Linked DNA regions of Ovis aries. The protein of the gene in region 1 interacts with the protein of each later gene in a biochemical or structural test. Links are inferred from orthologs where the notes say so. Each region holds a gene or a part of one and is shown on either strand. Other genes may lie near its edges.

Region 1 (3,653 bases):
ACCACCATTGCCCGGAAGTCTTGGATTCAGACCTACGGGTGACCTTTGATTCTTTATTCTTTTGAGACTCTCTTGAAGTTGCCAAGTTCTCTTCTCCTTTTTAAAATCAAGTAATTAATTCATCGGGTATTGTGCCAGGTACTATGCTAGGTAAAGGAAGCACCAAGATTAAAGACAGTCTTGCCTTCAAGGAACTCAGCATCAAACAAAGATGCGAATAGTCACCCTGTAGCAAGGCAGGGTTACACACTGCTATTACGGGCGCACAGGGGAGCTTAGGCCAGGACTGGGCTGTAGGGAGGACTTCCTAGGGGAGGTAATGTGTGCGACAGATCTTGAAGTCAGCCAGGTTAAGAAGGAGAGGTGATCAAGTGAGGTCAAGAAGACAGCAGTTGCAGAGGGAAGAGAGAGCACAGTGAATTTTAGAATCTGCAGGATTTCATGCTAATTCTAACAGGTGACTAGTAGAAAGGAGAGTGGGGCTGGGGGAGAGGCTGGGGGCAGACAGTGAAGGTGTCCTGCAGGCCATGCTGAGTTTGACTTTTATCCTAGAAGTGGGACTTCCCTGGTGGTCCAGTGGCTTAGACTCCACACTCAAAATGCCAGGGGCCTGGCTTCCATCTGCAGTCAGGGAACTAGATTCCCACTTGCCACAACCCAGAGCCAGCGCTGCCAAATAAATAAATAAATATCCTAAAAGCAAATGGGAAGCAACGCACGATTTTGAACTGATAAGTTCTGTGATGAGAAATGAAGAGAGCCAAACTGAGGCAGTGGAGATGGGCTAGTGAAGGAAGCAGGCTTGTGCAAACAGAAGTGTTCAGATTTAAGAGCTCCCTGGGTTTGGGTGGGAGTGAGCGAGTGCGGGGCTTCTCTCTTGGCACCTGTGTGTGGACTGGCAGGTGTTACTCGTTCTAGAGCAAGGAGCAACTTGGGCAGGCACAAGTGAGCTTAGAGTTTCGGAGATGTTGAATTCTCGTCTCCAAGGTAACTTCTGCGTCTGAGCTTCTCTCACGCTCAGTCTCTCTGCTTTCTTTCACAGCTTGATTTCTAACAACTTATTCTAACAGCTGCTTTGCCTGCCTCTACCCTCTTTCCCGTCGAACCCCCATTACGCAGCTCGTCTTCCTGGGATTACCCACTTTATCTCGTCAGTATCCTGCTGGCGATCCTGGTTCTCCAGGCAGAGCTCTCACGGCGCCGCTCACCTGGCCGGGCGCGCCCCGCTCGCACAATCTGGTTCTGCTTCCCTCGCCAACTTTCCGCTCCTTGCCTATTAGCAGTTCCCTCGAACAAATTCATTCCCTTGTTTGTTCATTCAGTGCTGGGCTAAGTGCTCGGTGGTGGGAACACAGCGTGGACCCTCAGACACAAGCCCTGCCCTCACGGCATTTTCGGTTTGGCTACCGGCAGTGCCAAAGGCGGGTGAGTGACAGTGTCGAGGCAACACGGGGTGGGGGAGTGGTGGGGTGAGCGGTATTTCAGGCAAGGAGACCGGCGCCGGGAGAGAGTCTGGGGGCTTTCACTAGTCCTGAGAACTGTAGGAAGGAAAGTTAAGCAGGTAAAGGCCAGAACACAGAGCCCCCTGTGAGCCAGACTAGGAGTTTGGCTGGAGAAACCCACTTAACACTTGTGTTTTATTTTTTAAAGCATTTATTATTGTTATTTTTAACATTTATTTATTTGGCTGTGCTGGGTCTTAGTTGCGGCATGTGGGATCTAGTTCCCTGATCAGGGATCAAACCCAGGCCCCCTTTGTTGGGTGTGCAGAGCCTTAGCTACTGGACCACCAAGGAAGTCCCTCAAGACTTAAAAACAATACATGTATTTATTTATTTGGCTGCACGGAGTCTTAGTTATAACACGCAGGACTTTTGTTACGTCATTTGGGACCCTGGTTCTCTGACCAGGAGTCAAACCTGCACCCTCTGCTTTGAAGGGTGAAGTCTTAACCCCTGGACTGCCAGGGAAGTCCCTCCCTAAAGGCTTTTAATCAGTGGATTAGCATTGTCTCTCATCTGCAATTTTGGAAATTCCCTCCAGTTGTTGAATGGAGACTGGACTGGAGGGAAGGGGGAAGGAGGTAAGGAGATGAGGTAGGAGGAGATCATGGTATTATCCAGAAGCCTTAGGACATGGTCAGGGTTGTGGAGGTGGAGAAGGGTGGGCAGACATGGCTTTCTGCCTTCTTCTCGTCTCTTATACCCTCCCGCCATCTCTTCACCTGTTCAGATACTGTCAGCTGCTTATTGCCAGATGGCCTAGCTCATTTTTGCACCTACCTAAGTTCAGTAAATACCTGTTGATTACTCTAGTTTATTGATAGTCCCCTTGTTTGTAGATTGGGTTACTGCTACTTGTCTGGGTAACCACCTTTGTTTCTCTGATTAAAGATGAATGGGTGAGGGGATTTCCCTGGTGGTCCAGTGGTTAAGAATCTCCCTTCTAATACAGGGGACGAAGATTCAAACCCTGGTCTGGGAGCTAAAATCCCATATGCCGTGGGACAGCTAACTCCGTGTACCCCAGCTAGAGAAGCCCCAATGCAGCCACTAGAAAAGCCCCTGTGTGCTGCAGCAAAGACCCAGCACAGCCAAAAAAAAAAGGCAGGGGGGCAGTTAGGTTTTATTCCATGGCTGTTGTTTGGCCTCTGGGCTGTTTGGTTATCAGCTCACAACTGGTAGAGCTTGGGTATGGGACACATCTGGGTTTGAATTCCTGTGCTCCCTCTATCGGAGAAGGCAATGGCACCCCACTGCAGTACTCTTGCCTGGAAAATCCCATGGACGGAGGAGCCTGGTGGGCTGCAGTCCATGAGGTTGCTAAGAGTCAGACATGACTGAGCGACTTCACTTTCACTTTTCACTTTCATGCACTGGAGAAGGAAATGGCAACCCACTCCAGTGTTCTTGCCTGGAGTATCCCAGGGACGAGGGAGCTTGGTGGGCTGCCGTCTATGGGGTTGCACAGAGTAGGACACGACTGAAGCGACTTAGCAGCAGCAGCAGCAGCAGCAGCTCCCTCTGTATACTAGCTGTGTGACTTGGCGTGATGATTTCACTTCTCCGAGCTTCCATTTCCTCATCTATAAAGTCTATCTATGTCATGGCGTTGTGAAATGAAATTATAAATACAAGACATGTTGATTCTTGGTATGTAGTCGGTATTCAGTAAGCAGTTGTGTTTGTACGTAGACACACTGCTGAAAACTGTCTCAAGAGAAATACTCTAAGGAATCAAAATTAGAAAGCGAGACATGCTTAGAGCCTTAATGACTAGCCAGATGACACAATGGAAAACAGGTTTTTTTTTTTTTTCTTTTTCAGAAAACTTATCTCGCATTCAAAATAGGAATTTTGGGACACAGAAATATGAACAGTGGATTATCGCAGTTCAGAAAGCGTGCATGGTGTTTCAGATGCCAGACAAAGATGAAGAAAGCAGGATTTGTAAAGCCCTGTTTTTGTACACGTCACATTTGCGGGTATGTGGCTTCTTTGGAAAAGGATATTTCCATCGTAACACCTACTGGGAGCTGTGCTATGGCAGCTGAGAGAGCATCATTTAGGAACTTTCCCGGTGGTTCTTATGAAGCAAATGCCAAAAGCTATCCTATTCAACATCTGTCTTTGCTCTCTGAAACCTGGCCCTAG
Region 2 (3,653 bases), on another chromosome or scaffold:
TACCATTGGCATCATACAGTGTCTAGCTTTCTCAGACTAGTTTCTTTCACTAAACATAATTAAGATTTGTGGCTTGACTGCTCATTTCTTTTTATTGCCAAATAATATTCCATTGCATACATGTCCCACAGTTTGTCTATTCACCTTTTAATGGACATATTGGTTGCTTCCTCCCCTCCCCCCCTTATAATTAAAGCTGTTTTCTTCTTTTTGGTTATAAACACAGCATTGGAAGTTCCCTGGTGGTCTAGTGGTTAGGATTCAGCGCTTTCACTGCTGTGGCCCAGGTTTTATCCCTGGTCAGGGGACTGAGACCCTACAAGCTGAGCAGTGTGGCCACAGATGAATAAATTCAGCATTATCCCTCAGGTCCTTAAAACTATTTGTTAGTATAGTGACTGAATATACTTTGCATTGGCTTTCAGATTACAATTGTCTGTGGATGGTAGGATATTGGATGATTTAAAATGTTTCTTCTTTCAACTCTGTGCATTTTCTACATTCATCATGATAAATGTGCAGTTTTATGGATAGAAAAAGCACCAACACTTATTTATAAAAGTTTTTAATTTGCTCAGGTGTCTAGATAAGGGCTCCACTCCAGAATTCCAGCTGCCAGAATGTTTAGGAGTGAGACCTGGATATACAAGAGCAAACAATGTTACCAGTGGTCAGCCACCTTCCTCTGAAAATTAGTCTGCATATGGCTTCTGAAACACATGCTATTTTGAGGGACATAAGTGCTTCTTAGAGATGAAAAATTAGTTCCAGTTTTTGAGGTTCCAGCATAATTTAAAAAGTGAGAGCTGTCCCCCCAAAGTTATTAAAAACTGTGGTTTATTTAGAGTAGAATAATGAAAATCTTGTATTTCTGTGGTTCTATGTAGGACCACTTTGGGAGGTAGTTCAGATTTCTCCAATGACTTCTGGGCCCCGCCTGCCTCTGATGATGGTCACCAGGTCTTGAGGTTGTTGCCAGAATATGTTGGTGGCCAAACTTCCTCCCACTCTCAGCCAGGCAGCTGCGCAGATGAAGCTCTGGAAGCGGAGTTGTTTAGCATTCTCATCTGAATGTTTCTTTAAATGTGAAGGACGCCGATAAACAAAAAGAGCTTGCATCTGTACAGCAATCTAGAATCTCCACGATCCTTTCATAGTAGATGCTTTTCACTGTTAAAAGGAACTAGGGGTGGTCGCTTTAATTTTTGAAAGGAGTGGTGAAGACGCAGGATGAGTCAGAGGTGAGAGTGGAGCTAAAGCCTGAGCTAAATGCCTTCCACTCAACGTACCAGCTGCCACCTGCACCAAATCTCCAGGCTCCCACCCTGCTTCCCCTCTGACTTCCCCAGTTCAAAATAACCCCAGTCTTTCCTTCATGCCTCACTCCCACCCCCCTGGCCCCATCTGATGGATGAACGCTGCTTCCCTGTGAACAACCAGCAGGGGGAGGTGGGAATGCGGAAAGTCCGAGGACTTTACCTCCTTTTCCTCTAGACATTTTTGTCACTTCCTTGCCCACTTCCTTTATCCAGTGTTTACGGCTCCCTCTGTCTAGAGCTGGTTCCCGGGTCCAGCTTTGTGTTCTGCTTTGCTCTTTTAAAGGTGGAGGCACCGAGGAGCGTCACAGAAGTTGACCGGGAGCTGGCAAAGCTGGTGGAACGGCTTATAGATATTGTCAGGAACCTTCAGAGTCCGAGACACCTCCCAGAATCTGAACCAGATAAAGAAGTGAGCATTCTGGCTATGGTAGGCTCATCTGGGAGAAGAAAGGATGTGCCAGGGGGTGGGGCTAGGGACAACTCCCTGGAACCGCTGGGAAGCAAGATGAATATGTTTGCCCTTGAAGGATGCGCTAAATCCCAATCTTTCACCTTGCTCTTCACTACCCAACACAGATAATTGGGAGTTTGGAATGTTTGAGGTGAGGTGTGAAGGCATCCATCCTTACCACTCCACATAACCAGCTTACTCCCCGAAGATCACCAGTGACCTCTATACAAATCCTCCAGACCTTCCAGCTTTTATTCTCATTGGCCTTTCAGCCACCTATGACATAGTTGACCACAGCATCATTCTTTTTTTTTTTTTAATTTTTAAAAAATTCTGTATGATTTTTAAAAGTTACACTTCGTTTACAGTTGTTACAAAATATCGGCTATGTTCCCAGTGTTGCACAACACATCCTCGTAGCCTGTCTCACACCCAGTAGTTTTTACCGCTCACTCCCCTGCCCCCGTGTTGCCTCTCTTCCCCTCTCTCCCCACTGATTTGTTTGGTTTTTAATATTTATATATATTTAATATATATATTTACAAAACACTGTGTAATAGCTGAATATATTTAAAAGAAAATCTGTTTTTGAAACCTGTTCTGCTATGACCGGAGATAAAACATCTTTTTCTTCCCCCTTTTTTCTTTTTAAAAAAAATTTTATTTTTGGAGTACAGTTGCTTCACAGAGTTGTATTTGTTTCTGCTGTGCAACACAGTGAATCAGCTACGCGAATATATATACTCCCCCCTCTCTCTTGAGCCTCCCTCCCATCCTCCTCCCATCCCACCCCTCTAGGTCATTAGAGAGCACCCAGCTGAGCTCCCGGTGATATACAGCAACCTCCCACTAGCTATTGCTAACCACAGATTTGTTTTCTGTATATCAGTGAGTCTGCTGCTTCTCACAACTTCATTCTTGAAGCTTTCTTTCCCCTTAGCTCTGAGATGCGAGTCTTCCAGTTTTCCCCCATGTCTCTCTGGCTGCTCTTTTCCGTCTGTTTGGCAGGTTCACTCTCCTCTGCTAAGCAGTGAAATGCTGGGATTCCTCAAGGCTGAGTTGTAGGTCACTGTCTCTTTCCCTCAGATGGCCCTGTCCACACCTGTGGCTTTCATTACCCACCCTGGGTACAAACGTAGCTTCAGTCTGGACCCTCCTCTGATCTGGTGTCTTCCTTCTCGTCTTTTCCTCTTGGCATCTCAGAGGCACATCACACTTAATCCATCCTGAGCTGTCTCTCCTCTAGGTACCCCGTCTGAGCAGCTGACCCTGTAACCATTCCAAATGCCCAAGTCAGAAAGCTGAGGATCATGTTGCCCTCCTCCATCACCTGCCTAAACATCTCTTGAACCTATTTACTATTCTGGAGCTTCTTAAAAACATCTCTAATCCAATCCTATGACCATCTCTGATCTGGATTTCTACCAAAGCCTCCTAATCACTCCATTCTGTTCCCTCTATAGAGTCACACTGCTTCTCATCACGGGGCCCATACCATGAAATGTTCTTCTTTTCCCCTGTCATGTAGGTCATGCCTGCTCATCCTTCAGACCTCGACTAGATTATCACTTCCTTGAAGAAGCCTTCACTGATTTCCTTGAACAAGTCAAGTTCCCTTACTAGAGGCTCTCATGTGTGTGATTCCATGTCCCTTTCTTTTGCAGCAGTTGTCAGACTTGTGACTTGATAGTGATTGACACCATAATTTATTGTCTTTCATTCCTGTTCCTAAGCACTGGACTCTAAGCTCTAGGGGGGCAGAGACCTTGATGACTTTTGTTCTTTTGTTCATTTTTGTTTTCCCAGGCCTGGCACAGTGCTGGGGACATAGTAAGTGCTCAGTAAATACCCAGAGTATTTGAATGAGTGAATAAATGGGTCCT
Region 3 (3,653 bases), on another chromosome or scaffold:
TTCTTGCCTGGAGAATCCCAGGGATGGGGGAGCCTGGTGGGCTGCGGTCTATGGGGTCGCACAGAGTCGGACACGACTGAAGCGACTTAGCAGCAGCAGCAGCAGTGGGAGGCATTAAAGTAGAAATTAAAATAACTGGAAAGTGAAATCTGGGTCTTTATACAATGGCTAATTATTTACATCACAAAAAAAATGATTTTGTCTAAAGCAGGTAACTACTCTTAAAGTAGTTATATAAAATATATATATTTATAAAACACAATTTATAAAACACTGTTTTTATGTTTCTTCTTTAATACTAATACTCAACACTGCAGCTACATATGCATTTTTTCTCTATAATCTTATAGTAAGACTTCTTATATTAAGAAAGGTAAGCTTAATTCAGCATAAAAATACAATGTAGAAGTAAGAAAATATACTTACTAAGAAATCATCATAAAACAAAGTGTGACTGACTTGCAAATGTCTTATTAAGCTGCCATTGAAGCTGCTTCGATTCTCATTAGGTACCAAACGGCAAAGCGGACAGAACTGGAAATAAACAATATCCAGAGTTCAAGAAAGAATTTAAATAATCATTAGTGTCAGCGATAAAAAATTAAATAGCCATTCAACAAAGTTAATTTTATGAATCTATTGGCCATACCTTGGTATTATGTTTTAGAATTATATAAATATTAAAGCAATATAAACAAATAAAATTGCACTTCTTTCTTCATACACATTTCTTGTATATAAAGAGTATAACTATTTGTTTCATACTTACCACTTTATTATTTAAATAATATTACAGTCAGGAGGTGTGCCATAATTTAATTAGTTACCTACCTCTTGCAATACTAAAGTTTTCTTAGGTATGTGCATATTTTGCTATTACAAATTACATTATCTACATTGCTATTGTTATTACAAATAATATTATCTATAGTTATATATCAAATTACATTTTTGAGGGGATTATTTTCTTAGGATAAATGACTATAAATGGAGATTAGAAGGTCAAAGTTATGAACATTCATGGTTCATAATATACACTATATATGATACATGATTATAGTTTTATATTACCACTAGCAATATAGATTATAATATACCAGCATCAGATATTAGTATTTACACATATTTTCCTAATTTAATAGCCATGAATGGCCATCTGCAAAACCTTCTCATTTTGAAATATTTATAAGCTCAAAAGAAATGGCAAAATAATGCAGACATACATGTCACCATCACCCAGCTTCCCCAAAATGTTACTTCTTACATAACTATGGCATATTATCAAAACCAGGAAATTGGCAATTAACTAGACAACATCTGACTTAGATTTCACCAGCTTTTGCATGAATTCATTTTCTGGGGTGGGTATATATATTCTATGAAATTTTATCATACATATAGTCATATAACTACCAACACAATCAAGAAACAGAACTGCTCTCTCACTACAAGAAACTCCCTTGCACTATCCCTTAACTTCTCTCCTGAACCCTGGCAACCATGGATTTGTTCTCTAGATCGGCCTTTTTTTTCTCTCTTTGCCTTACTGCCTGGCATGCAGGATCTTAGCTCTCTACCAGCATCCGGAGCGCACCCCTTGCAGTAAGCTGAGTCTTAACCACTTGACCCCTAGAGAAGTCCCACAAATGGATACCACTCTTATCACCTAAGCAGATACTGCCAGTACAGCATAGCAAGTGCTGTAATCAAGATCTGAACAGACAACTGTTCAAGACTGATAAGGGAATCATTACTTTTTTTTCTGAGAAGTCAGGAAAGGATTCAGCCAAGTTGCATGCAGCTGGTGTGAATCTTGAAGAACGAGTCAGCCATAGCAGAGGAAAAGCACCACAGGCAGGGAAAGCAAAGTGGAAAAAGGCAGGAAACCCTAAAACGACCAGGCCTGCTTAGGCAATGGGAAAATGCTCAGTGAAGCTGGAGACAGGGCATGTGGGCAGCCGGGGGAGGAGAGTTTGGAACAGTAAGTTGGAACCAGTACTAATCGACATACACTCTTCTGAGCAGCTCATGTGATTTCTCTTCTCCCCGTATCGAGTCAGAGGAACAGAGATGACTAAGCCTTGGTCCCATGATTAAGGAGCTTTGAGCCCAGTGGACGGGAAATCTACAGAAAACCTGGAATTTCAAGCAAAGTAGTTTTTCTTTTCAGTCTGATGTTAAGAGAACTAGTGGAGGCATCAGACTTCAGGTGTATAGAGAATTTAGTTGTGTGACTGAAGAGACTTTCACCAGAAAGACACTACAAAACAATGGATGACAGTCTATACTACTTTAAAAATTTCTTCTGTTTCTTGAATTGGGGAATTTGACATAAGGAAGGAGAGAGTAAGAATAGGAAAGGGAAAGAAATGGTAAAGTGAGAGACTGATGATCATGACCTAAGTCCTTAAGTGTTCACCTACACTCTCCCTAAGGTTGTTGTTGTTTAGTTGCTTGATTGTGTCTGACTCTTTGCAACCCCATGGACTGCAGCACTCCAGGCTTCTCTGTCCTTCACCATCACTTGGAGCTTGCTCAAACTCACGTCCATTGAGTCGGTGATGCCATCCAACCATCTCATCTTCTGTCATCTCCTTCTCCTCCTGCCTTCAATCTTTCTCGGCATCAGGGTCTTTTCTAATGAGTCAGCTCTTCACATCAGGTAATCCAAGTATTGGAGCTCCAGCTTCAGCATCAGTCCTTCCAATGAATATTCAGAACTGCTTTTCTTTAGGATTGACTGGTTTGATCTCCTTGCAGTCCAAGGGACTCTCAAGAGTCTTCTCCAACACCACAGTTCAAAAGCATCAGTCCTTCGGTGCTCAGCCTTCTTTATGGACCAACTCTCACATCCATACATGACTGCTGGAAAAACCATAGCTCTGACTGTACAGACATTTGTTGGCAAAGTAATCTCTCTGCTTTTTAATATGCTGTCTAGATTTGTCATAGCTTGTCTTCCAAGGAGCAAACGTCTCTTAATTTGATGGCTGCAGTCACCATCTGCAGTGATTTTGGAGCCCAAGAAAATAGAGTCTATCACTGTTTCCACTGTTTCCCCATCTATTTACCATGAAGTGATGGGACCAGATGCCATGATCTTCATTTTCTGAATGTTGAGTTTTAAGTCAACATTTTCACTCTCTTCTTTCACTTTCATCAAGAAGCTCTTTAGTTCCTCTTCACTTTCTGCCATAAGGGTGGTCATATGCATATCTGAGATTATTGGTATTTCCTCTGGCAATTTTGATTCCAGCTTGTGCTTCATCCAGTCTCACATTTCACAAACTGTACTCTGCATAGAAGTTAAATAGGCAGGGTGACAATACACAGCCTTGACGTACTCCTTTCCCAATTTGTAACCAGTCCATTGTTCCATGTCCAGTTCTAACTGTTGCTTCTTTACCTGCAAACAGATTTCTCAGGAGGCAGGTAAGGTGGTCTAGTATTCCCATCTCTTGAAGAATTTTCCAGTTTGTTGTGATCCACACAGTCAAAGGCATAGCCAATGAAGCAGAGATAGATATTTTTCTGGGACTCTCTTGCTTTTTCTATGATCCAACGGATGTTGGCAATTTGATCTCTGGTTCCTCTGCCTTTTCTAAATCCAGCCTGAACATTTGGAAGTTCTTGGTAAACGTACTGTTGAAGTC

What was found.
Region 2: of the proteins of RIGI (region 1) and RNF135, one has a biochemical effect on the other in vitro, tested with the Homo sapiens proteins (6 studies listed by BioGRID, with this or other methods). The link is inferred for Ovis aries from reciprocal best matches to the Homo sapiens genes RIGI and RNF135.
Region 3: of the proteins of RIGI (region 1) and RNF125, one has a biochemical effect on the other in vitro, tested with the Homo sapiens proteins (3 studies listed by BioGRID and IntAct, with this or other methods). The link is inferred for Ovis aries from reciprocal best matches to the Homo sapiens genes RIGI and RNF125.

The regions. Positions count from the first base shown.
Region 1 is NC_056055.1:101,639,370-101,643,022, reverse strand, and holds part of RIGI (antiviral innate immune response receptor RIG-I), read left to right. Parts: intron 1-3,326; coding exon 3,327-3,484; intron 3,485-3,653.
Region 2 is NC_056064.1:17,747,200-17,750,852, reverse strand, and holds part of RNF135 (E3 ubiquitin-protein ligase RNF135), read left to right. Parts: intron 1-1,602; coding exon 1,603-1,746; intron 1,747-3,653.
Region 3 is NC_056076.1:25,485,962-25,489,614, forward strand, and holds part of RNF125 (E3 ubiquitin-protein ligase RNF125), read right to left. Parts: intron 535-3,653; coding exon 427-534; intron 1-426. UniProt on the Homo sapiens protein: E3 ubiquitin-protein ligase that mediates ubiquitination and subsequent proteasomal degradation of target proteins, such as RIGI, MAVS/IPS1, IFIH1/MDA5, JAK1 and p53/TP53.